Coturnix japonica: one gene and its partners. The protein of the gene in region 1 purifies or fractionates together with the protein of each later gene. This does not show direct contact. Links are inferred from orthologs where the notes say so. Each region holds a gene or a part of one and is shown in the gene's direction. Other genes may lie near its edges. The genes, in order: SF3A2, U2SURP, PHF5A, SNRNP200, SMNDC1, DHX15 and SNRPD1.

Region 1 (4,154 bases):
TCCACAGAGCACACGTGATAAACGTGAAGCAAAAAGGTGCGTGTGTGTATCTGTGTGTGTGTGAGGAGCAGCAGGATCCGAACCTCAGCTTCATCCGTCCTGAAGTAGAAGAGAAAGTTCACCACGAGCTTCACGAGGCGCTTCTTTAACACTGAAGAAGGAAAGGAGTGATGTGACAGCGAGCCCAGCGTGTGTGGGGCCCCCAAACCATCCCAGCACTCCCAGCATCTCCATTTCCATCCCAGTGCTTCCACCCCAGGACTTCCATTGTCATCCCAGCGCTCCTATCCCAGTACACCGTTCTGATCCCTGTGCTTCCATCCCAATACTCCCATCCCAGCACCTCCAGCTCCATCCTAATACCCCAATCCCAGCACCCCCAGCTCTGACCCAGTACTCCCATCCCAATACCCCCAATTCCATCCCATTACCACCATCCCAACACCCCCAGCTCTATCCCAACACCCCCATCCCAATACCCCCAGTTCCATCCCATTACCCCCATCCCAATACTCCTGTCCCCACCCCAACACCCCCAGCATTATCCCAATACCCCCATCCCATTACCCCCATCCCAATAACCCCAGTTCCATCCCATTACCCCCATCCCATCATCCTATCACCCCAACACCCCCATCCCCATCCCACCCCCAGCTCATATCCAATACCCCCATCCCAATACCCCATCCCAAACAAAACCCCAGCTCTGCCCCAGCACCCCCATTCCAACAGCCCCATCCTAATACCCCCAGTTCCATCCCAATACCCCCATCCCAACACCCCCAGGCTCTATGCCAATACCCCATCCAATACCCCAGTTCCATTCCCAATACCCCCATCCCAATTACCCCAATTCCATCCCTTACCACCATCCCAACACCTCCAGCTCTATCCAACAACCCCCATCCCAACACCCCAGCTCTTGCCCCAGCACCCCCAATTCCAACAGCCCCATCCCAATACCCCCAGTTTCCATCCCATTACCCCACCCCATCCCACCCCCACCCCATTACCCCCATCCCACACCTCAATCCATCACTCCCCATTCCCACCCCCAATTAACCCCCCCATCTTCCACCCTCACCCCCTTCCCACCCCCCCCTCTACCGCTGCCCCTTCTTGGGGACCCTCATCATGGATCTCTGCCGCTTTCTCTGCCGGTTGCCTGGACAGGACAGCAAGCTCCCGTTCGTTGTACCTCATGTCGGACCCCAAACGACCACCCCAACCCTACAAACCACCCCTAACCCTACAACCACCCCAACCCTACAACCACCCATACCCGACCCGGTAGTGCTCTATCCGGAACTAGAGGGGATGGAAGGGGGAGGGCAGAGCGCATGCGCCGGGAGCGGGGCTGAGCACGGCGGTATGGGGGATTTAGGGGGAGGGGATGTGGGGCTTAAAGGGGGGATATGGGGGAGTGAGACCCTCATTGAGGGGATGGGGTGGTCTGGAGGGGGGTCTTGGGCCCTGTGGGGGATTGTTTCGGGGCAGTGACCGTCGCTAAGGGAATAAGGGCCTGTGGGGCCTATAGAGCCTGTGGGGCCTATGGAGCTTATGGAACCTGTGGGGCCTGTGAGGCCTATGGAACCTGTGGGGGCTGTGGAGGCTGTGGGGCCTATGGGGCATGTGCAGCCTATGGGGCCTATAGAGGCTGTGGCATATGGGCCTATTTGGAGCCTGTGGGGCCTATGGAGCCTGTGGGGCCTATGGAGCCTGTGGGGCCTATGGAACCTATGGAGCCTGTGGGGCCTATGGAACCTATGGAGCCTGTGGGGCCTATGGAACCTATGGAGCCTGTGACCTGCACTGGAGAATGAGGGGGGTGAGGGGGCTTAGAGGGGTTCTTAGTGGAGGGACAGGACCCTCCAAAAGGAAACTGGGGGGCTATAAGTGGCATGGAGAGTTCGGGGGGTGTTTGTAGGGGGCTTTGAGGTGAGCTTTGGTGCTCGCTGAGGGAATGGGGGTGTTTAGAGGGGGGTGAGGGGGTGTCTGGGGGGTTGTGACCCCCATGTTAGTGGCTGGGGGGTGTGTGACCCTGTGTGAGAGGGTAGAGGTGGGCTGGGGGTGGTTTTGTCTCTTGCTGAGGTAATGGCAGTGCCTGGGCCGTGTCCTCGTGGCAGGGCTCAATGCGAGGCCCAGCTTAGGGCTGTGTTGTCACTTATGTGTCTTTTCTTCATTTTTCCAGACTTTTATTTTATTTTTCTCCTGAAGTCTCCAAAGCCCAGAAATCCCCACCATGGATTTTCAGCACCGTCCTGGAGGTAAAACGGGGAGTGGAGGCGTAGCTTCAGCCTCAGAAAGCAACCGAGACCGCAGGGAGAGGCTTCGGCAACTGGCTTTGGAGACCATTGACATCAACAAGGTGAGCCCCAGTCCTGCAGGCTACATGGGGTGAGGTCAGGGCTTCATCTCAGCAGAGAGTGAGAGGTTTAGTGGGGATCTGTGGAGTGGAATAAATACTTCTGTTCCCACTGATGAGGGACTCGAGCAACATGTGGAAGGGCCAAGCAGAGGGATACCAGCACTGGGCTTCTGTTATGTTCAGTCTTGGCACTGGTTCTTATTATGCTGCAGTTGGGTGTGCTGTTACCAGTGAACACAACTGCTCTTGTTCCTTTTTCTCTATATTCCTAAAGCAGTGTTGTGCTGATCCCTTCACTCCATGAGCTCATAGAGTTCTTACAGTGCAGCTCTGCTTTAGAATCTCGGTTGTTCAGTTGTTCCAATGCAGATTTTACATGTAACTTTTCAATCCTTCTCTTCCTAGGACCCCTATTTTATGAAAAATCACTTGGGTTCTTATGAATGCAAGCTTTGCCTGACGCTCCATAACAATGAGGTGAGTTGAGCAGCTGTCTGTCTTGATCTCCATGGCAGCAGATATTTTAGACTAATTCTAGCTCCAAGTGCTGGAACCGAAGCTGTTCCCGTTGGCTGATTGCTGGAGGGCCAATGGGGGGAGCAGAGGCTGTGTGTGTTAAGCATGACAAGTTTCTGACAGTTCAGCAGTTGTGAGCAATCTGAAATTTGTGAGTTTGATTCTGCTGTGCTCTGAGGATTAAAATATCTTTGTCAGTGTGAAATGTCACCTCTCATCTGTGACAAATATCTTTCTGTTCAGGAACAGTTCAGTCTTCATAACTTTCTTTTCCCCCCAGGGAAGTTACCTGGCACATACGCAGGGGAAGAAGCATCAGACCAATCTGTAAGTCATTCTCCACCGTGTTATTCTCCATTACTTGGGCACATTAAAATTAGATAATGAGCACCTATAAATCTTGGCCTCCATCATGTAGTAGCACTCTGGGCTTGAATGCTCTTTGTCTCTGTTTGTTTCCTAGGCATTCACCAGCTCTGCTCTGAACAGTGGTGCTGACAAGCTCCACTTCAAAGCCAGCTATGGCATTTAGATTAAGTATAACTGTAAGGGAAGCTGTTTTATGAATACAGCTTGAGAAAAGTTTGTAAGCTTTAATCTAAGAATTCAGGTTTGCTCTGCTTTAGATACCTGGCTTGTGTAATTCATTTCCTTTTTGACTTTTAAGAAGTCATCTCAGCTCCATCTGTGGAGCTGGACATCAAAGTCCTCTTAGGAGTGGGTGAGGTGATGGAGGTGACAGATTGTAGTCAAGGCAAGGAGTGGAACTGGCCTCCCATGGTGCTTGTGGAGGAGGAGCAGCAGTTTCCCATTATGCTTTCTGTGAAGTGCTGAATGCTCCGTCATACAGAACTCACTCTGCCTTTTAGAGTATCCTTCAGAACCAAGTGCTGATAACCATTTAACACTGCGCGTTTCCAATGAACCCAGGGCTCGTCGAGCTGCCAAGGAAGCAAAGGAAGCTCCTGCCCAACCTGCACCAGAAAAAGTCAAAGTGGAAGTGAAGAAGTTTGTGAAAATTGGACGACCAGGTTACAAAGGTTTGTCAGCAGTGCCTGTCATAGCAGATACCCCGTGGCTGCTGGAGCTTGCTTGAAGTGCAGTGCTGTGGGCATGAATTGTTCATCAGCCTTTTTAGCAGAGCTATCCATAAATAAGATATGGGCTTATCTCCTGATGTCCTTTATTGTTTAAATTACCCATGGGTTGTCTCTTTATTGCTGACAGTCGAGTGAGAGCCATTTTAATAATAGATCAGTACGTCTCAGTC
Region 2 (3,686 bases), on another chromosome or scaffold:
TGCCCAACCATAAGCCACTCTTAAGCAATTTTATTGTGCTTGATGAATGAACAGTTAAATGAAATCCAGTAGCATGGTTCTGCAGGAAGCCTGAATTGATCATATTGATCATATTGAAGCCTTACAATAAACAAACGCTGTGATAGCTCAGAGATGTGAAAGAGCATTGTAATTTTTCTATGTGTGTTTTCAAATACAGTTCATATAACAAGAACAGTTTTGCTATTTAGACTTTCAGAATGCTGCTTTGAATAAAATGGCTGAAGAACTGTTGATACTGTCCTCCTTAAAGTGTTGAGGATGTCATAAAAAGTGGAAGTATAGGACAGCTAAGCTGTACATATCAGTTTGGTTTTTTGTGTGTGTGATATGAAAGGAAAAGAGACATTAATGCTGGCTGGCATAAAACGTTTGCCAAGTTTGCAGATAGATGGGCAGGTTTTTTATTGCTATATTTTATATTTTATCTAATATGTTGCATCTGTGACAAATTTTTGATTACACATGATGGAAAATAATCACCTAAATACCAAGATCTGATAGAAAGATATTCAGCTTTTCAATGCAAGTATTTTGAATTCTGATAATGAAAATCTACTATAGGGAGCTTTAGTTTAAAAGACCCGTGCCAGTTTGTTTCATTTGAGAAAATTTATTTAAAAATGTAAAAATCTGTATTTTTTTTGTTTGCATCGCATTCAGAAGGCACGTGCTGTGAAGTTTTTGATATGTGTGGATAATCTTTATTTGAAACATTTAGAAAGTGGTTTCTAGGGGAAAAAAATCCACAGAACAAAAAGGTTGGAAATTGAAAGAACGTTAATTTATAAAGCTTATATAACTATATATATATATATAGTTATATATATATGTAAGCCATTAGCACATTTATAAATGAATTTACATTTTCAAATGCGGCTTCAAAAACATGCAGTTAATTCAAATATGCTTCTTGCTCGTCTCAGGAAGTAGTGCTGAATAAAATGAATACAGATTTTTATGTTTTTCTTTAATTGTGATTTGGTTCTCTTGATTGTGGTAGGAAGGAAACACTGAGTACTGTGACATGGAATGATGAACAATTTTGTTCAGCATCTCATCCTTGAGTCTTGACCAAAAGGAGTTTACCCAAATTGAAAGGAGCCACTGCTCTGTTTGGCATCAAGAAGGCTATTTGCTTTTCCATTTATTCTTGAATAGTTTGAGAGCTGAATGCAGTTTCTATTGAATATTCAAAACCATTTGCATTTAGTTTTGAACACAGTATTCAGCCATTTGCTTGTTTGTAGAACTGCAGTTAACACTTGGATCTTAGTACTAGATTCATTAGGTGAGGGCTAAAATTATAAGGGTTTATTGCACTTTTGTGCTCAGTTGCCCGTTTTATGCATAAGGACTATTGAGCTTCTCCTATGCAGGAGATGGTTGTAGACTAAGCTGTGGAAATTCAGCAATGAGGTTTCCTTCTAAGTTGTTACTCGAGCGCTCTTAGGCATGTTTTTATTTTGGAGTGCCTGTGTCTGTGATGCAAGGCTATTATTCGTTCCATGTTACCTTATCTTCTGTACAGTCCATAACAATACAGCAAAATAATCTCCTGCACAGTTATAGTATCTTAGATGGAGTGTAGCTTTATATAGTGTTAGGTCTGAATCAATTTTTCTTTAACTGTGTTGTTGTTGTAGGAATTTGCTCGCACTGATACATCGAATGATAGAGTTTGTGGTACGGGAAGGGCCTATGTTTGAAGCCATGATCATGAACCGAGAAATCAACAACCCAATGTTCAGGTGCTTATTACATTGCTTTAATTTGAAACTGTGTAAACTACTTTTGCTATAGCCAGTGTTTTGCACTTCTGAACTGCTAATAGGAATTGGTTTTGCTATGAATTCCTCAGCTTGTGCTGAGGCTGCAGTAGCTCCAACAGTGGTTGTGCAGTGGAGTGTGATTGTGAACAGGGTTTGGGTATATTTGCTATGGCTTCCTTCAAATTATCTTCAGGTAATTAACTTCTAGTGTGTTTTGTTTGTCTGTCTTCTCTGGTTTAGGTTTCTGTTTGAAAACCAGACTCCAGCCCATGTGTATTACAGATGGAAGCTTTATTCAATTCTTCAGGTCAGTAAAGTCTTAAGTGTTAGTTTGTAACATTAAGAATTATGAAGTAGAAGTAAAGAGACAAAACAAAGCTAAATCAAAAACTTATTCTTTGCAGGGAGATGCTCCAACCAAGTGGAGGACAGAAGATTTCCGTATGTTCAAAAATGGATCTTTTTGGAGGCCACCACCATTAAATCCATACCTACATGGGATGTCAGAAGAGCAAGAAACCGAGGCATTCGTGGAGGAACCAAACAAGAAGGGTGCACTTAAGGAGGAGTATGAACTCTCATTCATTATTTTTTATATTAGTGCCTTTTTGATGATTCTTAGTGCTAAATACATTCTGGATTTTGTTAGGTTTGCCTTCACTGAACCATGAGTTCTTTCAGCAGAGTGGATATTAAGCCTTTGTATGAAGGGGATGGGGAGTATGAGAAGAGTTGTTTATTTTTTTGTTGTTGTTGGTTTTTTTTTGTTTTTTTTTTTTTTCTGTTCCTGTCTCTTAGTGAAGTTACAAAACAGTGATCTTAGCATTGTAGGAACTGAGCGAACTAAACAGTTGTTATCTTAATTTTATTGATGTTATTCTGAAATTAAAATAGGGAGCTGTTACTAATTAGCAAAAAGGGAGAGACTGCCAGAGATCTTTGCAGCGAATTGTATGTGTGATGGGAATGGCTGTAATAGTGGATAATATATATATATAGCAATAATAATGGGAATACTTACATGATTTTTTAAATTTTGCTGTCTTTGATCCAAGTGTATTCATAGCCTGTGGATTTTTATTCTCATTTTGTCCTTTTCGTCATAATTATGACACAAGTTGTGGTTCTGAAGTCATAGGTATTATTACACATTAACACATATGTATTACATATTATGTAACTCCCTTTCCTTTTTAGAAAGGTTAAAAAGATACTCTTTTAAAAGTGATTTCTTCATATTGTATTGAAGACCTGGAAGAATTGCTTTCTACTAATTTTCTCTATCTGATGATTCTGATTCCATGTTATAAATTACTTACACGGCTTCCATTCACTCATTTTTCATTCAGGCTTAAGCAATGTTCAAATTGATTATTATGTGTTTGGATATATTAATATTCTGCATTGGCTGTTTTGTCAGCTATTTTTTCTTCATTTCTATTCATAGCTTATACTTGAACAGTGAATTTTTCAAGCATTATTCCTTTATGTGATGAACAGGGGCTTATTGGTGCATGTTATGAGTCACTGAAAAATAGCTCAGGAGTAGAACTGATGACTATTTCAAATTTCCTTAGTCCTGAAGTCAGTAGAATCAAAAACATTAAATAGAAATTCCGCAAATACTGCTGATTTTTATATTGAAAGTATTGTAATCTTTCTATTTCAGACAGAGAGACAAGCTGGAGGAAATTTTGCGTGGGCTAACGCCTCGAAAGAATGATATTGGTGATGCGATGGTTTTCTGTCTAAATAACGCAGAAGCTGCTGAAGAAATTGTAGACTGCATTACAGAATCACTGTCCATTCTGAAGACTCCTCTTCCCAAGAAGGTGTGGAGGTTTTGTGTAATCGTACTTCTGGTTTTTGAGGAAG
Region 3 (4,234 bases), on another chromosome or scaffold:
GTAATAACATAAAATGTGAGTAAGAACCATAGAATCACTGAATATCTTGAGTAGAAAGAGATCCATAAAGATCATCAAACCCAACTCCTGGCTCCACGTGGTACCACCCAAAAAGCCGGCCCTATGTGTGAAAGCATTGTCCAAACACTTCTTGAACTCTGGCAAGCTTGGTATTACGCCCACTGCCTTCTTCACAAAGTGCTTTCAAAGCACCTCACTCAACGATCCTTCACGTGTCCCTTCCAAGCTGAGCTATTCTGTGACTCTCTGATAAGGTTATTGCTGCAGCTCCCTGGGTAGAGGGAACACCCTCCCCAAGGTCACAGCTGGCAAATGGAGCAGTCCGAGCTCTCAGCTTCACCATGTGGCACGTACTGAGGGCAGCACAGCAAGCAGCACTACATGAGAAAATGGCATTCTACTGCCTTCTAGGCTTTAAAAAACAATCAAGTGTTTATTAGTGAGTAGATAGTAAACGGGATAATGCCCTTAGTACTGTAGTGCCCGTGATGGGCACAAGCAGACGTGGGTTTTAGAGGTCACAATGGAGAAGACTGGGAGAGTCATTATGAAGGTAGATTCAAGCCATTTGGAAAATAAAATAATAATAATAAAAAGATAATTGATGTGGCCGCCTGGCCTTGCACGGCCCCTTTAACAAACAGATCTAGGAACTCCCATCCACATGAAAGGCCGCAGTCCTGGAGCCGGGCAGCCAAGGGCACAGGCTGCTAACGGCACGAGATGAGGAGGAGCCCGCGGAAGGAGGAAGCACGGCCCCAGGCGCGATATCTCGGCCTACCCGGGCGCGGTCACCTTGCGCTCACCTTGAGGCTCAGCGGTGCCCGGAGGCGGCGGGACCCGCCCGACACCGAGGCCCATCAGGCGGCCGAGCCGCCTCCGCCGGTGCGGCCCCGCCATCGCCATGGAAACGGGCGTCGGGCCGCGCCGGGGACGCGCTGACCTACACGCGCAGACAGCGGAGACCCGGCCCCACGCCTCCGCCCGCCGCCCCGCGCTCCCTCTGCCCTCCGTCCAGGATTGCAGCGGCCCTCACCCCACCGCCCAGCCCGGCCTCGCCCGGCCCCGCCCGTCCCGCGGCGCTCACCCGCAGCCGAGCCGCCAGGACGCAGTACGGCGCCATTTTGTGCACTGACAAAGATGAAGTCGCGCCCCGATGGCGTCAGTCCGCCCTTTTGATACCTCTGGCGCGGGAGGAGGCTGAAGGGGGCGGGGTCCAGCGGGTCCTGGCAGGGAGGTACCGGAGGAGAGAGCGGCGTTCCCATGGCGGGGGTACGGGCGTTCCCCGCGTTGAAGGGAGCAGCGAGGCGGATTGGGTTTGAAGCACCATGCGGAGCTCGGTTACGGGTCGGTGTCCCCTCCCGGAGCGCCGCTTTGTCGGACGCTCTCCACACCCCTGACAGGACCGGGACACGGCGGCAGAGCACCGAGAAGTGTCGCCGGCGCCATGGCCAAGCACCATCCGGATCTCATCTTCTGCCGCAAGCAGGCGGGCGTCGGTGAGTACCGGCGCGGTCGTGGCCCTCCGCACCTTGACGGTGGGCTCGGGCGGCAGTTCGAGCCCGTTAGGTGCCCGTTAGGTGCCCGTCAGGCCCCTCGCGCAGCTCCTCGTTCTTCCCTCGGCCCTCTGAGCTCGGGGTTCGTGGCGCTCCCCGAGGCCGCAGGGATGTGGTTGGGGATCGCGATGCGGCGCTGAGTGCGGGTTTCCTTATGGCCGGTGGGAGCCGTTGGCCGGACACCGTGCGGAGGGACTGTGGGCCGGGTGGGTGTGCCCTGAGGACAGGCGTCGCTTGTATTTGCGTTCTAAATGTAGCCTCAAGTAATATGTGTTTTTTCGCATTCTTTTTCCCCTTACAGCAATTGGAAGGCTTTGTGAGAAATGTAAGTACATCTTCTGCGTGTAGTTGTTTGAGAACCCAACTCTGTGGTAAGTGCCTGCAGCTCGGTTTCTCTTTTTGCTCTGCTGCTGACTTGGGGTCACAACCAAATAGAAATAGCAGGTAACTGCAGCTTGGGCTGGGAGGAGTGACCTGTGTGTTGGCCTGAGTGTATGGAGCAAGTGCGAGAAAAAGACCGCACAGCTTCCCTTCAGCATCTGTTAGAATGGGAAATGGATGGAAAAAAGTGCTACAGCAGATGAATATGCAAAAACAAATATCTATGCAACCTACTGCAAGGAACCTGCTTTGGCCAAAGTGTTGGACTTGATTCCTGGAGATCCCTTCCAACCCCTATAATTCTGTGCTCGTGCTCACCTATAGCAGAAAAGAATAAGCACAATTGGTCATTAGATCCTTGCAGGAGCTCAGTACAAGTAAGCCAGCTATTTCTAGGCTCCAAAAAATGTTAAAAACAAGCGAAGTGAGGAGAAGCACAGTCTGAAGCAACTGAACTGTTTTCAGAAGTACACAGAAGTTAAATGGATTCCCAGTGGTAGTAGCTGAGGGCAGTTGGGACTGAGATTGAAGAGCAGGTTAAATGAGCTGTTTGTGAGAGTCAGGATTAAATACCTTGGGAACTGGTAATAAGATCTGAAGCCTTTCATCTGGAGGTCAGAGTTTTGGATCGGGGCCCGCAGAGCAGAGACTGTCCATGGCATCTGATGGCTGTTTGCCTGTATGATAAGAGCACTTGTATTTCTCTCAGTCCCTTGTGAGAAAGCAAGAGCAACTCTGTGAAGTGGCAATTTATGCCGGTTTGCCCTTTTTTTGGCCTTGGATATGGCTGGCTGTTGGCCCTCGTTCCTCTGAAGTCTGTGTAAATATAAAGTTGCACCTTGTGCCTGTAAGCTAAAGTTCTGCAGTCTAACTGCGTTGTCTTTGAGCATACAGGCAAGTTCTTTGTCCAGCAGACTTTTCCTCTTTTATGTGGGGTGGAGAAAAGGACGTTCTGTAACCAAAGACTGCTGTACTTGCAGGTGATGGCAAATGTGTGATCTGTGACTCGTACGTGCGGCCCTGCACCCTGGTGCGCATATGTGATGAGTGTAACTACGGCTCGTACCAAGGGCGCTGCGTCATCTGCGGGGGCCCAGGGGTGTCTGATGCCTACTACTGCAAGGAGTGCACCATCCAGGAAAAAGATGTACGTTGTCATCCAGTCTCCTGTAGAATTGCTTATGTCTTTGTTTAATAGCTATGCTTATCTTTAAAGGGACTTAGAGCAAGTGATATTAATGTTAGGACATTGGATGCTTGGGTTCCTCTCCCAGAACTGGCACTGGTTTTCATTTCCTTGCATGTTTCTTTTTCTGTCGGTGGTTCCCAGTGTTTGTGGAGCACTTTGAGGTAGCGAGCAGTGCCTCGATTCTGTATCCCATAGGATCCTTGTGTGCTTTACGATGCATACTCACAGTTCACTTCCTCCACGCTCTGCTTGTTACCACTTTCAGCTGTTATCTTACTAAATCTCTCAGCCAAAGTTTTATCAGCAGCAGAGACACTTTAGACGTTGCAAAGGCAGTGGCAGGATCAGCTTCTTACTGTGTCCGTGATCATACCATACATGGTATGATCATGCCACTGGCATATATGGTACCATAAGGCCTACAGAATCACCACCCATGTTTACTTTTGTGTTACAGTAAAATTAGCCCTTAGTGTCCTTCGTCCTTTGACAAGGCAGATGCTCGCTCTCTAGGTATTCAATAATATCCATCATAGTGAGGGCAAGTCATGAAGAACTGCCAATGAAGTAGTAGAAAGACTGTAGGGAAATGCAAGAACGTGATGCTTGCGGTTGCAGTGTGTCAGAGTATGGACCCAATGGAGAGTATCGGCTGTGTGGTTTTGGGGCTGGATCCTTTGCAAACACCATCTCCAGCACACCCTGATGTCAGCAGAGTGTGCTGACAAACAGCTCTGATTTAGAGGAATGTACTTAGCTGACTGAGCTGCTGCTTTAATTTTCTGCAGCACCCATATTTTCTCTAGAGGTCTTGCAGGGCAAGCCCGTGTCTGAATTTAGTCAGTAGATCTGGCGGGAGCACCATCTTTCTTAGTATCTAAGTATTATATGTGGATAGAAATGCTGTTGGTGGTACTGCCTTCTACATCTAGAAGTGCTGTGACAAGCAGTAGTTTTGTTGTCTTGTCTGTGGGACCAAAGAACTTGTTTGGCAGTTTATCAGTTAAATAGACCAATTCATATTGATTCCTAATAGGTATTTTTCGTGCTCTAGTCTCATCTGTAGGTTCAGATGTAGAGCAGCTCG
Region 4 (4,410 bases), on another chromosome or scaffold:
GGGACTCTATAGGGACTCTGGGTATACAATGGGGATCAATGGGGGACTCCATAGGGCACTGTGGATGCAATGGGGGGCTCTATAGGGCCCTGGGGATGCAATGGGGATCAGTGGGGGACACTATAGGGGCTCTGGGGATGCAATGGGGATCAGTGGGGGGCACTGGGGATGCAATGGGGGGCTCTATAGGGGCTCTGAGAATTCAATAGGGATCCATGGGGGACTCTATAGGGCTCTGTGGATGCAATGGGGATGCAATGGGGATCAGTGGGGGACTCTATAGGGGCTCTGGGGATGCAATTGGGGGCTCCATAGGGCTCTGGGGATGCAATGGGGATCAGTGGGGGGCCCTGGGGATGCAATGGGGGGCTCTATGGGGGCTCTGGGGATAGAAAGAGGATCAGTGGGGGACTCTATAGGGACTCTGGGTATACAATGGGGATCAATGGGGGACTCCATAGGGCACTGTGGATGCAATGGGGGGCTCTATAGGGCCCTGGGGATGCAATGGGGGACTCTATAGGGGCTCTGGGGATGCAATGGGGACCAGTGGGGGGCACTGGGGATGCAATGGGGGACTCTATAGGGGCTCTGAGGATTCAATAGGGATCAGTGGGGGACTCTATAGGGGCAGTGGGGATCAATAGGGATCAATGGGATCAATAGGGATCAATAGGGATCAATAGGGATCAATGGGGAGCAATAGGGATCAATGGGGGACTCTATAGGGGCTCTGAGGATTCAATAGGGATCAGTGGGGGCTCTATAGGACCCTGGCTATACAAGGGGATCATTGTGTTGCTCTATGTGGGGCCAAACATGGTCCCCCCCCCGTCCTCTCTCACCTGTCCGTGCTCCGCCCTGAGGCCTCATTGGGGGCGGTGAGGCCGGAGGCCGCGGATCCACTGGGCCGAGCGGCGGCGGGAGGAAGGGGCGGCCTACCCGGAGGTGTTTACTGACACGGAGCTGCTGGTAGGAACACAGGCTGTACTGGAAGGACGAGCTGAAGAGCCCCGAGCGGGGCACACGGGCCGAGGACAGCGGGATTTGGTACCAGCGGAGCAGCCCCGCCCGCTGACCTCGTCGCGCCGACGTCCCGCGCAACATGGCGGCCATGGGCGGGCGGGGTGAGAGAAAAGGGCGGGCTCTCCTCAGAAAGGCGGCGCTACCAAGTGCGGCTACTAACGGCGGGATTGGCCGTTTAACTGCCGACAGGAGCCCGGCAGCCAATCGCGGCTCGAGGGTTCGACCAATCAGCGCGCGCGCTGAACGGGATTGGTTAAAGAAGAGAAGTGTCCCGCCCACCTGTGCTCTCAGCCAATCAGAAGGGGTGGAGAGTGTCCCCGCCCCCCACCTCCCGCGGTGCATGCTGGGAGCTGCAGTCAACGGGCCTCTGCCGCGGTGCATGCTGGGAGCTGCAGTCAACGGGCCCCTGCCGTGGTGCATGCTGGGAGGCCTTGTGCGGAACCTCTTCCGGGATCGGGCTGTTTCCGCTTCCGTTGTTTCCGCTTCCGCCGGAAGTTCAGCTCCAGGGCCTGTTCCCGTGCACGGCGGTGGCGGGGCGGCAACATGGCGGACGTGACCGCTCGCAGCCTGCAGTACGAGTACAAGGCGGTGAGTGCCGGCTCGGGGCCTGTGCGCGGTGGGGATGCCGGCCTCATTCCTCCGGGCCTTCCCCGTCTAACGGGGGCCAATATGGCGGATCTCGTATAGTGAGGCCTTGTCGGGCCTTGTGTGGCCTGTGGTGATTTAAACCGGGCCTGTTTGAAGCCGGGGGCTTTAAGAGATGGTTGGAGGTGCGGCCTGCGTCCCTTATGGGCGGTGGGGGCTGCTGGATATAGGGCTGTGGGGAGGATAATAGGGGCTATGGGAGGATATAGGGCTGTGGGGTGGGGGTAATAGGGGCTGTAAGAAGGATATAGGGCTGTGGGGAGGATATAGGGGCTGTAGGATGCTTATAGGGCTGTAGGATGCTTATAGGGCTGTAGGATGCTTATAGGGCTGTGGAGGGATATAGGGCTGTGGGGAGAATACTGGGGTATGGGAAGGGTAATAAGGGCTGTGGGGAGGGTATTGGGCTGTAGGAAGAAAAATAAGGACTGTGGGAGGATATAGGGCTGTAGGAAGGATATTGGGGTATAGGAAGGGTAATAAGGGTTATGGGAGGAATGTAGGGCTGTGAGAAGGATGTTGGGCTGTGGGGAGGGATATAGGGCTGTGGGGTGGATATTGGGGTATGGGAAGGGTAATAGGGGCTGTGGGGAGGATATAGGGGCTGTAGGATGGCTATAGGGCTGTGGGGGGGTAATAAGGGCCGTGGGGAGGATATAGGGCTGTGGAAGGATATAGGGCTGTGGGGGGGAAAATAAGGGTTGTAGGATGGATATAGGGCTGTGGGGGGGTGATAAAGGCTGTGGGGAGGGTATTGGGGTATGGGAAGGATAATAAGGGCTGTGGGGATGATATAGGACTGTAGGAAGGATATAGGGCTGTGGGGAGGATAATAAGGGCTGTGGGAGGATATAGGGCTGTGGGAGGGATATTGGGCTGTGGGGAAGGTAATAAGGGTTCTAGGAAAGATATAGGGCTGTGGGGAGGATAATAGGGGCTGTGGGAGGGATATAGGGCTGTGTAATAAGGCTGTAGGAACATAAAGGCTCCACCTGATGCATTGTGACCCCCATCCCCCCCCCAGAACTCCAACCTCGTGCTCCAAGCTGACCGTTCTCTCATTGACCGGACGCGACGCGATGAACCCACGGGTGAAGTGTTGTCCCTGGTGGGTAAATTGGAAGGGACGCGGATGGGAGACAAGGCGCAGCGCACCAAGCCACAGATGCAGGAGGAGCGACGGGCCAAGTGAGAGCTGAGCGGGGCCTGGGGGTGGGAGGGGGCTCTGAGGGGGCTGTGGGGCTTCAGTGGTTATAAGCAATGTGGAATCACACAGTGATGGAGGTTGGGAAAGAGCTGTGAGGTGATGGATCCCAATTGGTGCATACACCACTGAGTGGTGGCATTGAGTGGTGGTATCGTGTTGGTGTATGGTCAGATACCAACATATATGGTTGTTATATGTGGTTGAGTTGTGGGTCCTCAGAGCCCCCCCAGGTTCATCTCCTGCCCTGGTGCCCCCCTCCAGCTTATACCCAACACAACTTCAGTCGCCTTTGGCACCTCCAGGGTTGGGGCACCCACAGCTCCTCTGTTCCACCACCCTCATAGTGAAGAAGGTGACCCTAAATCTCCCCTCTTTTACCCCAAAGCCGTTCCCATATCCATCAGCCCATCCCCAAGCACCACATACACACACCTTTTGATCCTTCAGCATCCTTCACAGCTTTCCCAATGTAGAAATACTTCCCCTCGACCAAAACTTCCCCAATTCAACCCAGGGCTGGGGTCTCTTGTGATGCTGTGGGATAAAAGATCAACCCCCCCTCACTGCTGTGTCCTCCTTTGAGGCAGATATGGAGTTTCTCCTTTTCTCTCCAGGCTAAATAACCCCATTCCCTAAGCTGCTCATTGTAAACTGGCTCCAGACCCTTTGCAGCTTCATTCTCTCTCCTTGTCGGGAAGCGAAAAGTGAAAGGAAAAGGGCTAAAAAGGAGGAAAAACGGGGCAGAGTTTACCTTTATTTTTAACAAAGGGAAGGCCCACGCTTTGCTGTCCAGCATTACTGGGATTCCCTGCTTTGAGCTGCTATGGGTGCTCTCTGTTTGCAGGAGGAGGAAGCGCGATGAGGACAGACACGACATCAACAAGATGAAGGGTTACACTCTGCTGTCCGAGGGCATCGACGAGATGGTGGGGATCATCTACAAGCCTAAAACCAAAGAGACACGGGAGACCTACGAGGTGTTGCTGAGCTTCATCCAGGCTGCCCTCGGGGACCAGGTGAGGAGCTGGATGTGTGTGATGGGGGCACATCCATATCACAAGGGGGATAATATCTGTGCCATAATATCTGCCCCTATGGTGATCTCCTGCTTATGTGGCTGCTGGTTGTTCCCCAGCCACGAGACATTCTGTGTGGAGCTGCTGATGAAGTGCTGGCAGTGCTGAAGAACGAGAAGCTGCGTGATAAGGAGAGACGTAAAGAGATCGATCTGCTGCTGGGCCAGACTGACGACACCCGTTATCACGTGCTGGTGAACCTGGGCAAGAAGATCACGGATTATGGTGGTGACAAGGAGATCCAGAACATGGGTATGGACAGATTATGGTGACAAGAAGATTTAGAACATGGGTATGGGCACAGATTGTGATAGTGACAATGAGATTCAGATCATGGGTATGGGCACAGATTGTGGTGGTGATAAGGAGCTTTAGAACACAGGTATGGGCACAGGTTGCAATGATGATAAGGAGATTCAGAACATGGGTATGGGCACAGATCATGATAATGACAAT
Region 5 (4,438 bases), on another chromosome or scaffold:
AACCCCTCCATTCATCACAGCAGCACTCCTTGTTCCGTGCTTCCCAGGTCTCTCCCCACACACAAACACAAAGCACCCCTACGCTGTTCCCATGTTAACCTCGAGTTCCTGCTTCCCAACCCTCCCACGCTGCTGGCTCACTGCTTCAGGCTCCTCTAATCCTCCCAGGCTCTTCTACCCACTGCTCTGGCCCTTGCTCTCTATTTCCAGCCTCCCATCATCTTCTCAGCTTTGCTGTCATCCAAGCCTCGTGTGAACAGAAGCAATCTCGGCCGCAGCCTACCCAGCACCCTGAGCTGCAGAACCAGCATCTCCAGGCCCCAGGCAATCAGCACCAACACACTCGCTGACACAGAGTGCCTCGCAGAGAGAAGCCATGCCTTGACGTGGCATATTCCTCCATGCTGGAGGCACACGTCGAGCTGAAAAACCACCTGACAATCTGCCAGTTGTGTATCCTGACGCAGACCCATTGAACAGACCAGCTGTGTGCCGGCAGGTTGGGATTTCCTATGGGAGACACCATTTTGTCAGGATTCACAAAGCTGCCAACAGTAGGTGAACAGAAAACTCAGAACCTCAGGCTCTTCTGGAGCAGGTGATGCCCCAATGAGCGCAGGCTTTCTGTCACTTCTCCCTAATACTGACCTTTTCTTCTTATCTCCACGATGCTCCGCCCTGTCTCTTCATCCTCATTCAATTCTGATTCACCTCTCCCCCTCACTTTGAGTCACTGGGCCTTTTCACTGATGGGGGATAATTACTGTAATCACTCACAGTACAGAACATGTCAGAACTCTCTGTTTCTCCGCTTAGCGCCATACCTCAGGTCGGGTACCGGGGTTACAGGGAGTTTAATTATGTTCAGAACCTAAATTCACTTCACAAACAAACTCCTGTAAGAACAGGTATTTCAAACAGCAAGAATTAGGCCAAGATTCAGGAGTTGTAATGGCAAAAACAAACAAACAAACCAAAAAGAGCCAAACTGTGTGAAACTCCGAGTCCATGATTTGGAATAGAGAGAGAATGGAAACTCCAACCTTGTAATTTAATGGAGCAACAACAGCAATGCCATGAAATATCACAGAACTGCATCTATGGGCAAACTGGATGGCTCTGCCTACAATAATAAACTGTTACACAAAATAAATAGAAAGCATGAGAGGTTAATTTGTTACAGAATCACACAATGACCCGGGTTGGAAGGGACCTCAAGGATCATGTAGTTCCAACCCCCTGCCTGGCAGGGCCACCAAACATACACCTTTACTAGATCAGGTTGCCCAGGGCCCCGTCCAACCTGGCCTTGAACACCTCCAAGGACGGGGCATCCACAACCTCCCTGTGCAGCCTGTTCCAGGGCCTAACCACTCTGCTAGTGAAGAACTTCCCCCTGACATCCAACCTAAATCTTCCCTCTTTTAACTTAAAACCATTTCCCCGTGTCCTGCTATTGTCAGCCCTTTCCAAGAGTTTACTCCCCTCCTGGGAGTAAAAAATAGAACTATAGGAAAATAGAATAAGTCTATTGTGCGCGCAGCAGCATCGCCCCCTACCGGCCATCACCGAGCCGTGCCGCTCAGCGCCGCTCTCTCATCTCGCGATGCCCGGTGCGCGTTGTCCGCCGGCTCCTCCCACTTCCCGTCCCGTAGCGCGGCCCGCAGCTCCGGCCATCAGGCGGTACCGGCCCCACGGCTCCAGCGCGGCGGCCCGGCCCGGCCCTCGGGCCCCACAGCGCCCGCCGAGGTGAGTAGCGGCCGCTCGGTCCCTCTATACCGCCCCGCTGCCTGTCGCTACCCGCCGGAAGGCAGCCCGCGCTCGGGCCTGGGCCTAGGCCTAGTGTTACGGCCCTGCCTCCCCGCACGGCCGGGCCTTGGGAAGGGGAGGGATCGGGCTCGTTACGCCGCAGGCTGCCGTTGTTGTGCAGCTCTCAGTGCAGGTGAAGGAGCTCCGTGCCCGCTGTTGTTGTTATTGTGCTGAGCTGTGTGTTCCCTGCAGATGTCGGAAGACCTGGCCAAGCAGTTGGCCAGCTACAAGGCCCAGCTGCAGCAGGTCGAGGCGGCCTTGTCTGGGAACGCTGACAACGAGGACTTGCTGAAGCTAAAGAAGGACTTGCAGGTGAGGCAGTGGGAGCGGCCTGAGGGTGTTTGGGGGTTTTTTCACCTTTCCTTGATGTCTGTGTGGCAGCTGTCTGTGGTAGAAGTGCCGCTCTGCAGCACAGAGACTCGAATCCCGGGAGTTAGGGATGTTACGGGGAAGTTCTTTACTAGGAGAGTGGTGAGGCCCTGGAACAGGCTGCCCAGGGAGGTTGTGGATGCCCCGTCCTTGGAGGTGTTCAAGGCCAGGTTGGACGGGGCCCTGGGCAACCTGATCTCGTAAAGGTGTACGTGCTGAAGCCTAATGGGTGGCTTAACAGTGCTTCATTCTGCCTGTTCCTGAGCTGTCAAATCCTTCATCTAGGATCCGTGTATTCATTACGTGCAACGATATAAACTTCAGTCTGTTTCTGCATCCCTTGTACATCTAATCCTCTGTTGTGCTAAGAATTATGTAAGAAAGGAAGACAGATGTGTCCTTCATTTGCTACCTGCAGTTTCTTTAAACGTTTGAGCGTAGCACCCTGTAAAAAGCTCAGACCAGTTCTGTGCTTCAGGTACTGTTCAGTGCCAGGAAGACCAGCGGCTAATTTTAAATTGATAATAGGGCTCTTAGATTCTTGTGTATAGAAAGTTACACTGGCATAGAAGAAAACAGCACTGTTCAAATCTCACGTGAGAGTGCAGGATGCTGCCTCCTTTCTGCTGTGGATTGCTTTGACACAGTCAGTGATCTTTAGAATTCCTTTTAAATGATAAAGGCTTGGTGCCCACAGGGCTCTTAGTAGATCATCTGAATGTCCTTTGCTGTACACTGTTAAAAGCATGTGTATATGTTTATATTTTTAAAATGCACAGCCAAACCCATATGGGATATTTCCGATACCAACCCGACCTCGGCTTTGAGATCATTGATGTGAAAGGACAACTTGCAAACTTTTTAATAAAAGCTTTCTGCACAGAATGGGGAAGATGTTTACACTGTCGTCCCCAAAAGGTTTGCTATTCATATGTTCCACCTTGCAAATGACGTAGACAATGTTTTGCAGACTTAACATGTCAACCTAACGATTGTAAACGTGGGTTCAGTGCGTTCTGTCCTGACTATGGAGCTTTTCTTTTGTTCAGACTTAATGTGAAGCTGAAAGATCCTCTTACATTTAACATAGAGATGCACTGCTGCATTTTGTATACTGAGCCTATTCCTGATGAACGGGATTAAAATAAATACGACAAGAAACTTTTACAAATGCTTTGCTCTTTGCCTTTTGTTCCACTGAAGGGCTTCTTTGGACACTGTCCATACAGCAAAGCAACGAACTCTGTGCTTTGTGCGAGGTAGAACTGATGGCAGCCATCACCTTCTGTAGTTGGAGATGGAATATAAAGTTCTGCCTGAGTTTTTTAGAGAGCAGCTGGTGAGGAAAAACCCTGACAGACTCTCACTGGAGTTCCCTGCAGGTCACACTCCCATGCCACACAGACACAGCAGCCCATCCTGCTGCTCAGCTCAGCTCCTGGACTAAGCTGCTGTGGTGTCTCTTGTGCAGAGATGTTCATTGAATAAGCTGCTCCCTTAAAGATTGCTACAGAACGATCTCAGGAAGATTTGTACCAAAAGTTTGCTATTCGTTGCTTGTTGTTTAAATGACTTCATCGGATTTGAAGAATTGCTGGTAGAATGGTTTTCAGCTACTCCCATTTGGAGTTCTGTAATAAACCACCGATGAACGTGATGAGAACATGTCAACACTTCTGTGTCACGCTGGTAGCACGCACAGCAGAAATGCTGGCACTCCATTTACATGTATTTGACATGCTGAGATGGCACCCATTTCAAAGCCTCTCAATTTTCAGACAACATACAGTTGTATGTTGATGGCTGGTTTGGTGTTTCTCACCTGGAAGGAAAAATTATGCAGATATTGTGTTTTCTGAAGAGCTCTCAAACTGGGTAACCTCAGAGTCTGTTCTAGTTCAGCTGTAATGTTACAGAAGTTAGAGATCAAAGTTAAATAGAAATAGTTTTCAGCATGTCACTGTGCTTATAGTCGCTACCCATTGTGATTACTGTTCAATTTAGAAACAAGCAAGTTCTTAAAACAGAGAACAGAGCTTCTGTTAGAAAGGTGCTGACAAATTAAGACAGTAACAACCGCTACAAACAAACAGGACATTCATTCTGGTTGTACAGGTTATTGGATGAAAGTGCACAGAAGGGTACATTGCATTAACCTGCTATCTGGGAACTGCTTACAGTCTTCTTTGTTCTTGAGGAATGAAGAATAGCTTCTTCACCACCATTCCCTCAGCAAGTCTTAAGTCCACAGTTGGACTAG
Region 6 (3,686 bases), on another chromosome or scaffold:
AAGGCATAGGATGTTTGCCATAACAAGGGATGCCACTTTCCTGCAAGGTTTTGTGGCTCTGGAAATTCAGAAGCAGCATTGGGGGGTTGGACTCGATGATCTCTAGAGGTCCCTTCCAACCCCTACAATTCTGTGATTATACTGAGCATGGCTTTATCTCCTGCTGTCCTTGTAGCCTACAAGAGAGATGACATGAGTAAAAGTTGGACTCAACTATTAACCAATGACAGTTGTGAATTCTACCCTAACTTTACACAGAAAGTTCATTGGATTGAAGTATCTCAGAACAGGCAGAACAGTGCTCCTTCCTCTCCTGTCTTACATTCCTTTAAAAAATGTGCCTTTCTTTTGGCTTGAAAATGGACTTCAACAATCCTCACTGCTTTCATCTTTGATCTCACAGGTCTCTGTGTTTCTCTGCCCCCTTTTTTTTTGGTTGGTAGTTATCTTTGAAAATCTCTCTATTGAAGTCATTGAGGTTGAGATTTAATTGAGGTTCCTTTTTATTAAGGAAATTTAGGATTTTTATATTTGCATCAGTGGAGTTAACTTTGGTCTGTAAGATCTAGATGATGGAAGTTGTTTCACGTTCCTGAAAGTGATCATCACTCAAGTAACAAACATACATCATGGTCCTTTGTCTCTTTTAAAGTGAGACATGAAAACTGTTCTGATGGTCTTCTAAATCAGATTCATGTGTTGAAGTCTACATAGGCTTTGTCTTTCATTTGGTGACAGCATTGTAGGTTTTGTTGTTTCTTTGAAAATGGCCTCTAAATTATTTTTATTTCCCTTTACTGTGTCCTGAGAAACCTGCTTTAAAGCTGATGTCAGGATTGGCTTTGTTTAAAGTTAAGAAGCTTCTCCTCATTCAGAGTTGAGTTTTTATTAGTCACTTGAGAAGCAGCTTCATTTTTCTACACTCCACTCCTGGAAAGTGTGTATGTGCTACTGGGTAGGATTCCAGACTCATGTCTTCAGTATTTATGAGCTGTTGGTATTTTTAGTTTTGAATAGGATTTTCTGAGTTCTTTTGTTCAGTTGTTAATCTTTGCTTTTTTTAAATTTTATTTCTGTACTTACAGTGGGGGGTATGTTCTCCTTTTTAAGAAAAAAATAAAACAGCTTTTCATTAGTCTACAATTGTCTGTTGTGCATATGTTCAGTTGTTTCCATTTTGCTGTAGAGATACAGCATTTGAGAAGGAAAATCTGCCTAGGTTACTTAAAACTACACAGTTCTTCCTGCTATTCTGTATTGGTTCATGAATGGTAACACTTTCTTTTTCTGTAATTGTGAGCCTTTTATAATAGTTAAAACCAATTAGTAAGGAGGAATAGATTTTATATCATCTGTAAACTTAGGACTGGCTCTGCCTGGAAGTTGTCTCCTCATGAAACATCACATGGAACATGTTAATAATATTACATTTTCTTCAGGCTGTTACTGACCTTGCAAAGTCTTCAAAGTAAAGCTGTTTATTATTCTGACTTTCTTGGAAAACCAGTGCCTGACAAATAAGCAAAAAAGCGTGTTGTTACAGAAACTGAAACACTAGGATTTCATATCTAGTTTATAACAATTCCAAAGAACAGAAGTTAACCAAATTAGCATATCTTGTTTATTTGTCATGATTCCTGGGTAGGCAAGTTGTATATAATTAAAATATCTTTTTTTTTTTCATTAATCTACATTAATGAACAATATATATATATATATATATATATATATATATTATATATTATATAGATATATATTTTTTTTTTAAATGCAAAGTATAATTTTAAGCTACTGAACTAACAGTGCTCAGAGGTTCTGTGAGCCTCTTATTTCCTTGATAACTTCAGAGATAGTTACATACTTGCTTAAGGTGAGCATGGTTTACTTAATTGTGTTGAGTCTAAATACTCTGCTTTTCTACTCTGGATATTTCTGTACATACAGTTGTCACCTCAGTGAAATTATGAATATATTTATTTGATATAACCACTGTGTTATATTTATTGCATCTGGATATTGAAGCTGTGGTTGAAACTAATTTTGTTTTATTTCTATTTCTTGGCAGATCCCTCAATGGTGTGTTGACTACATGCGCTCATTACCTGGACCAAAGAGGGGAGTAGCATGTACCCAGCCGAGGAGAGTGGCTGCAATGAGTGTGGCACAGAGGGTTGCTGATGAGATGGATGTAATGCTGGGCCAGGAGGTTGGTTACTCAATTCGATTTGAAGACTGCAGTAGTGCAAAAACCATTCTCAAGTAAGTACGGTGACTGTCCAATAAAGATCCCTGTGGAGGATGTTAGCAAGGTTTTGGAAAGAGTAATGAGGAAGTAAGAGTGAGTGGAAAAGAGATGGAAGCTGTAGTGTCAGGTGAAAGAAATATAGAACGTGGGTGTGGCGTAGACTTGAAAATGAGTTGTTCTTAAAGAAAAATGATGTGTTGAGTTGACTTCTATCAGTGGTAACTTAGTACCCAAGATAATTCTGGTGAAGTTTAGGAGTTTACTTCACTAGTAAGCAGAGGTACTAGTAAGCTTCAGAACTGATCTGTGCCTAAATCTATGGCACATAACTGAAGTTTATGTATGCTAGTGTTTCATTTATTAGCTATTCCAGATTCCACTGCTTTGTAGGTGAAACCAAGCTCACTTAGTATGTGGTTTGCAGATCACATTCACAGTGCTCAGTTAAAAACGAAACTATTGCAGGAGTAGTGTTTCTAGGATTTGAGTTGTATCTTTTTTCCTTTTTTTTCCCTGTCTTTAAATGTAGATCTGGAAGTTTGCCAGTAATAGTCTTAAAACTACTCATTAATGTTGCCAAAACTTGTTGACCCTCTCACTTTTTAAGCTTAATCTCTACTGCCGGATTTCATTTATATACCCTATGGTAACTTCTGTGTGAAAATGAAAACGGATTTGTTGCTTTGCTGGAAATAGTTCTTCTATTCTAAAAACAAGGTTTATAAAGGCTTTCTTCAAGCAACCTCATAAATAATAAGAAAGGGGATTCTTTATCAGATATAATAAATAGAATTGTCTTTGTATTCAGGTATATGACTGATGGTATGTTACTTCGTGAAGCAATGAATGATCCTTTGCTGGAGCGCTATGGTGTTATAATTCTTGACGAGGCCCATGAGAGAACACTGGCTACGGATATTTTGATGGGAGTTTTGAAAGAAGTTGTAAGACAGAGAGCTGATTTGAAGGTCAGTAATGATGAAGCCTAGCAACATCTTTGTGTTCAGCCATGCTGAAGAAGAGTGTGTATGCGTTTACCACTAGGTAATTATAAAGAAAAATAATCAACTGACAAAGATCGAGAGGCTTTTTGATCTGTTAATGGTGAACTGTATTAGAAAGGTAATGCTAGGGAAGGCCTAAGTGCAGTTTGTATTAAAGAAAATACTAGAAAGTCAGTTATCTGTACCTTTCCATATTTAATTAGGATGGTTTTTTGGACATGGAAATGAAGGTGCTGTACTATAGTGATAGAAACATGCTTAAATCATGGCTAACATTGAGTTTAGTTTCCTGCTGCTGTATTTTGTTTGTGTAACATTTCTCAGGTCATTGTCAGCCTTTGGGGTAACTTTTTTATTGTCTATACCTACAGGTTATAGTTATGAGTGCTACTTTAGATGCTGGCAAGTTTCAGGTCTACTTTGATAACTGCCCTCTT
Region 7 (4,141 bases), on another chromosome or scaffold:
AATGTAAAACTCCTTGCAGGGTTTATCAAACCTTCCTTATGCTAAAGGCCCAAAGTTCTCCATCACTTTAAGAATGGTTGCAATGCAAAGGTGAATTTGGTATTGTTTTTGCTAGTCAGCTGCTTCTGTTCTTGATGTTGTTGGAATAACTCACAAAAAAAAGGAGTATGGATCAGAGGAGGAGGTGTCACCCTAATGCCATGTTGCACTTGGGAGCAGCTTCTTGCTTTTCATGCATGATGTAACACACTTTAAAAGGAAAGGTTTTTTTCTTTAAAAAGCTACAAAATAACATGTGCTGGTTAACAATAAATGTGTGTCTTTAAATTTAGTGCTTCCAAGCTGTATAAAAAACAAGTAATCCTACTTGAGGACCAATTTTAAACTATTTTGTCACTTATTTTATATGGTTTGTTCAAAACCAGCCGTGAAACTTGCTTAAGGCGCTGCACATTGTTTAATATTTCCTGTAAGTACAGCTGTATATTCAGATTGCAGTTATAAAATGTAAATGGGGGGAGAAACGTGTAGAATCTTAGAGCTAGCACAGTTGTTGTTACTGAGGTTAGAACACAAAGCACTGATACTCCAGTGTTTCACTGTGTTGTGACTGAAACTGTGTACAGACTTTTGCAGTTATCTGTTCATTTTAACCTTGAATGTTGCTGGAGGCTTCTGGTTCTATGTGAGCATAACCTGCACATAAACATCAGTACTCACCATGCCTCTGTCTGCTTCTCGATGCTGTGCTGGGAATACCAATTGGTGGTTAACTGGAAACTCCTCTCTGACTTCATTTACCAGTGTCACCTCTGTCATAGACTCAAAGTGCAGGAACACCATAAACTCAGTATGTAATGGTTCTTACGGCTCTCGGGCAGCTGCCCTCTCAAACTTGGTTCTTTGCGGTTTGTTTAAAGCAAAACATAAAATAACAGATTTCATGTGGAAAAGAAGAGCTGTGGTGTGTGTGTAGGGATGGAGGGAGAGACGTGGGTTAACGTGGGTTCTCAGAGCTGGAGGGCAGCCAGATCTCAGTGCTTTACAAAAAGAGTCTGTATTGCAGAAATCACAACAGTGTACTCATCAATGATAATAAAAGGTCTGATTTTTCTAGATCCTGGCCGCTGCGTTTGTGTGCCTGAGCTCCTTATCAACTGCTTAACGTAGAAGCATCGCTGGTGCGGACTAGACTATTTGCACACAGCTACAGTGCTTAGATACGTATAATCCCGAGCCCACCATTCCAAAATGGCGGCAGCGCATCCCCTCAGTGCCCGCCCGCCCTCAGCCCCGCGCAGTCGCGCTGCGTCCCGCCCCTTCCGCCGCGCCGCTTCCGCCCATTGATCGCAGCCGGCGGCGGCCGCTCAATCTCTCGGGGCTCGGTGCGCTCGTTGGAGGCCGCGTTCCTGTCCGCCCGCGCTCGCGGCGCTTCCGCCGAGGCCTTTTCGTGCCCCCAGGGGCGGCCGCCGCTGCCCGCCGAAAGCCCCGCGGCCGCCGCGCCGTCCCGCCGGCGCAATGAAGCTCGTCAGGTGAGCGGATGGAGGCGGATCGCGGAGAGAGGCGGCGGGGAGCCCGCGCAGGCCGCCTCCCCCTCCCCACACACAGGCCGCCCGGCCTGTCGGGGCCTCGTTGCGGCCTGGGCTCTGCGGCGAGCGGCTGGGCCTGCGAGCGGGGCTGCCCGGGAAACCACCCCGGGGGGTTGGGGGCGGAGCCGGGTGGAAGCGCCTTCACGCGGTGCCGAGATCCAAAATGGCTGCTGCTTAGCTGGTGGTCAGAGAGCAGCCCGAGTTGGACGGGATGCACGAGGGATCCCGAACCCAACTCACGCAGGGCGCTCAAAACACAAACCCTGTGACTGGAAGCGTTGTCCCGACGCTGCTTGAGCCCGGTGCCACCGTTTCCAGCCCCTGGCAATTGGGCGCCGTTTGGGGCTTTGGCTTTGCCCCATGGAGCACCTTCAGTGCAGTTCATGGCAGCTGAGAACGTTTGCGTTAGGATGTACATCGATCGGTTCCCCGTATCAGCATGTGGTTGGACATAAGGCTTAGTGTGACAGCAAACACTCTGTGCTTAATTCCTAGGTTTCTGATGAAGCTGAGTCACGAGACTGTGACCATCGAGCTGAAGAACGGGACGCAGGTGCATGGCACCATCACAGGTACGGTGTGCCAGCAGCCTCCCAGGCTGATCTGAGCTGTGTGGGGTAAAGGAAACCGGTGCTGGCGTGGCTGGTGTAAGTGTGGTAATCTGAAATTACTGCAGCAGCATGCAGGCATTGTGAGACAGTGTCACTGCTGTATCAAAGGGCAGTGGTCATACAGCCTATCCACTTATGTTTCAGAACATTTTGGGGCTGGAACTTGAAGGTCCCTTCCAACTTAAACCGTTCTGTGATCTCATTGGTAAAGCTGCAGTACACTGTAGTTGCATCAAGAAGTCACCACTGAGTCACTGGCAGAGAGATATTTTTCTAACGGTAGCACAGATAAATGGTAAATGCTGAACATGGTTACAATCTACTGAGATGTAAGGGTTAAAAGCACGTTATTTTGCAGCCAGATCCGTCCATTTTGTTAGAAGCTGGCTGTGGTGGCAGCACTCTGTGCCTCCTACCCTTGTACTCTCACAGCCTTCGCTGTTGAGCAAAGTCTCTCTCATGCTGTGCTAAGAACCTGTAAAACCCTGCAGTGCCATCCATGGTTCTAAAATGACAGTCATCCCTGTACATGGGTGTACGAAGCCTGTTGCAGCCACGGTGCCACCTGCAGTTGGTGCTTCTGATGCTGATGTTAGATGTGTTTGATCAGAAGATCATGGTTGTACTTAGAAGGAAACGCAGTGTTATTTTTCTACTCAAAAGTTCGTTTTCTTTCTTTTGAAAGGAGTAAAAAAGACAAATATTATGCTTTTGTAGTAAGTGGCAGTTTATTTGTTGTCCGGAGGAATCATTTTAAGTGTTTAGTGTTGCTATGACTTAAGACCTAGGAACAGATCCCTACAGCTGGTGGTAAGTGGCTCTTCCTTTGGAAATATATCAGTGTTGAGGGCAGCAGCTGATAAATCAGCATAATTAATAGAGGAAAAAAAGATGTAGTTTCTTCTTCCACTTAAGAGGCTTAATTAACAAATGGCACAGATCCAGAAGCGTGTGTTAGCAAAGTCTTGAAGCACGTGCACAGTTAATAATAGCCAAAGAGGAGTCATCCTGTGTGTTCCCACCCCTGAAATCAGCCTTGTGTTATTTCAGGAGTGGATGTCAGTATGAATACTCATCTCAAGGCTGTGAAAATGACGCTGAAGAACAGGGAGCCTGTACAGCTGGAGACATTGAGCATTCGGGGGAATAACATCCGATACTTCATCCTACCAGACAGTTTGCCCCTGGACACCTTGCTAGTAGATGTTGAACCAAAAGTCAAGTCCAAGAAAAGAGAAGCAGGTGAGTGCATGATTTCCCAGTCTCTGCTTGTTTTACTTTGTGTTTTCGTGCTCTCGCTCTGAAGGCATGTGATTGGAAATCTTAATTTCTGTATTGCTTTCATCTCTGAGGGTTTGTACCGAACTCTGCCTTGTGTACCTTCATTGTGTCTGTAGTCTCCTTTCATGAGAAGTTATTTACACAGCTTCTCATGCATCTGTTTTAAAGTGTAAACGTCTTTAAGTGTGAGTAAATCTTAACCTATGGCATTCTCAGAGGCAGCACCAATGGGATGCACAGTTTCTCTTTTCAAAATGTCTGCTCTGTTTCCCTGGTTTCTGTGTGTAACTTTGTATTTAGCCTAATAAGAAAATATAGAGCAGCCTCAGGAGCGGTGCTGGACTGAAATCTCACTTGGCAGTGGATACAAACAATCTGCTGGAGAACCGAATTGAAGGGGCTTCAGAATGCAGAGGGAGCTGAGGCTGTGTTCCTGTGGATAAAGCCCTTAAAGCCTAACAGAATAGGGAATGCTTCTGGTTTTGTTCTGCGCCGTTAACAATTAATATCCAGTAAACTCCACAAAGTTTGTGTCTTCAGGCAGTAAAAGTTTTGCCCAGCAGTGTTAATCAGTGTGTCTTTCCAGAAATAAGTTAAAGGTAATCGTGCTCTAAAGCAACTGCTTGCCATTTCTCCTGTAATTTATGCTTAATTATTTGG

What was found.
Region 2: the proteins of SF3A2 (region 1) and U2SURP purify together in Homo sapiens (affinity purification with mass spectrometry; 3 studies listed by BioGRID, with this or other methods). This does not show direct contact. The link is inferred for Coturnix japonica from reciprocal best matches to the Homo sapiens genes SF3A2 and U2SURP.
Region 3: the proteins of SF3A2 (region 1) and PHF5A purify together in Homo sapiens (affinity purification with mass spectrometry; 5 studies listed by BioGRID and IntAct, with this or other methods). This does not show direct contact. The link is inferred for Coturnix japonica from reciprocal best matches to the Homo sapiens genes SF3A2 and PHF5A.
Region 4: the proteins of SF3A2 (region 1) and SNRNP200 purify together in Homo sapiens (affinity purification with mass spectrometry; 4 studies listed by BioGRID and IntAct, with this or other methods). This does not show direct contact. The link is inferred for Coturnix japonica from reciprocal best matches to the Homo sapiens genes SF3A2 and SNRNP200.
Region 5: the proteins of SF3A2 (region 1) and SMNDC1 purify together in Homo sapiens (affinity purification with mass spectrometry; 4 studies listed by BioGRID and IntAct, with this or other methods). This does not show direct contact. The link is inferred for Coturnix japonica from reciprocal best matches to the Homo sapiens genes SF3A2 and SMNDC1.
Region 6: the proteins of SF3A2 (region 1) and DHX15 purify together in Homo sapiens (affinity purification with mass spectrometry; 4 studies listed by BioGRID and IntAct, with this or other methods). This does not show direct contact. The link is inferred for Coturnix japonica from reciprocal best matches to the Homo sapiens genes SF3A2 and DHX15.
Region 7: the proteins of SF3A2 (region 1) and SNRPD1 purify together in Homo sapiens (affinity purification with mass spectrometry; 4 studies listed by BioGRID and IntAct, with this or other methods). This does not show direct contact. The link is inferred for Coturnix japonica from reciprocal best matches to the Homo sapiens genes SF3A2 and SNRPD1.

What each region holds. Positions count from the first base shown.
Region 1 is NC_029543.1:1,224,573-1,228,726, reverse strand, and holds the start of SF3A2 (splicing factor 3A subunit 2), read left to right. Parts: upstream 1-1,312; 5' UTR 1,313-1,369; intron 1,370-2,191; 5' UTR 2,192-2,242; coding exon 2,243-2,368; intron 2,369-2,773; coding exon 2,774-2,845; intron 2,846-3,164; coding exon 3,165-3,211; intron 3,212-3,814; coding exon 3,815-3,924; intron 3,925-4,154. UniProt on the Homo sapiens protein: Component of the 17S U2 SnRNP complex of the spliceosome, a large ribonucleoprotein complex that removes introns from transcribed pre-mRNAs.
Region 2 is NC_029524.1:9,017,275-9,020,960, forward strand, and holds part of U2SURP (U2 snRNP-associated SURP motif-containing protein), read left to right. Parts: intron 1-1,685; coding exon 1,686-1,790; intron 1,791-2,051; coding exon 2,052-2,118; intron 2,119-2,215; coding exon 2,216-2,379; intron 2,380-3,480; coding exon 3,481-3,643; intron 3,644-3,686.
Region 3 is NC_029516.1:45,263,220-45,267,453, forward strand, and holds the start of PHF5A (PHD finger-like domain-containing protein 5A), read left to right. Parts: upstream 1-1,311; 5' UTR 1,312-1,468; coding exon 1,469-1,520; intron 1,521-1,636; exon of another isoform or gene 1,637-1,731; coding exon of another isoform or gene 1,732-1,783; intron 1,784-1,878; coding exon 1,879-1,902; intron 1,903-2,938; coding exon 2,939-3,105; intron 3,106-4,234. Other genes in the region: ACO2 (aconitate hydratase, mitochondrial), read right to left, coding at 1,109-1,144.
Region 4 is NC_029537.1:1,057,981-1,062,390, reverse strand, and holds the start of SNRNP200 (U5 small nuclear ribonucleoprotein 200 kDa helicase), read left to right. Parts: upstream 1-1,480; 5' UTR 1,481-1,569; coding exon 1,570-1,614; intron 1,615-2,695; coding exon 2,696-2,859; intron 2,860-3,722; coding exon 3,723-3,894; intron 3,895-4,013; coding exon 4,014-4,206; intron 4,207-4,410. Other genes in the region: protein FAM178B, read right to left, coding at 846-1,116. UniProt on the Homo sapiens protein: Catalyzes the ATP-dependent unwinding of U4/U6 RNA duplices, an essential step in the assembly of a catalytically active spliceosome. Plays a role in pre-mRNA splicing as a core component of precatalytic, catalytic and postcatalytic spliceosomal complexes.
Region 5 is NC_029521.1:22,832,296-22,836,733, reverse strand, and holds the start of SMNDC1 (survival of motor neuron-related-splicing factor 30), read left to right. Parts: upstream 1-1,629; 5' UTR 1,630-1,749; intron 1,750-2,001; coding exon 2,002-2,121; intron 2,122-4,438. UniProt on the Homo sapiens protein: Involved in spliceosome assembly.
Region 6 is NC_029519.1:66,716,221-66,719,906, forward strand, and holds part of DHX15 (pre-mRNA-splicing factor ATP-dependent RNA helicase DHX15), read left to right. Parts: intron 1-2,065; coding exon 2,066-2,259; intron 2,260-3,053; coding exon 3,054-3,213; intron 3,214-3,620; coding exon 3,621-3,686.
Region 7 is NC_029517.1:39,382,146-39,386,286, reverse strand, and holds the start of SNRPD1 (small nuclear ribonucleoprotein Sm D1), read left to right. Parts: upstream 1-1,341; 5' UTR 1,342-1,518; coding exon 1,519-1,532; intron 1,533-2,084; coding exon 2,085-2,161; intron 2,162-3,250; coding exon 3,251-3,442; intron 3,443-4,141. UniProt on the Homo sapiens protein: Plays a role in pre-mRNA splicing as a core component of the spliceosomal U1, U2, U4 and U5 small nuclear ribonucleoproteins (snRNPs), the building blocks of the spliceosome.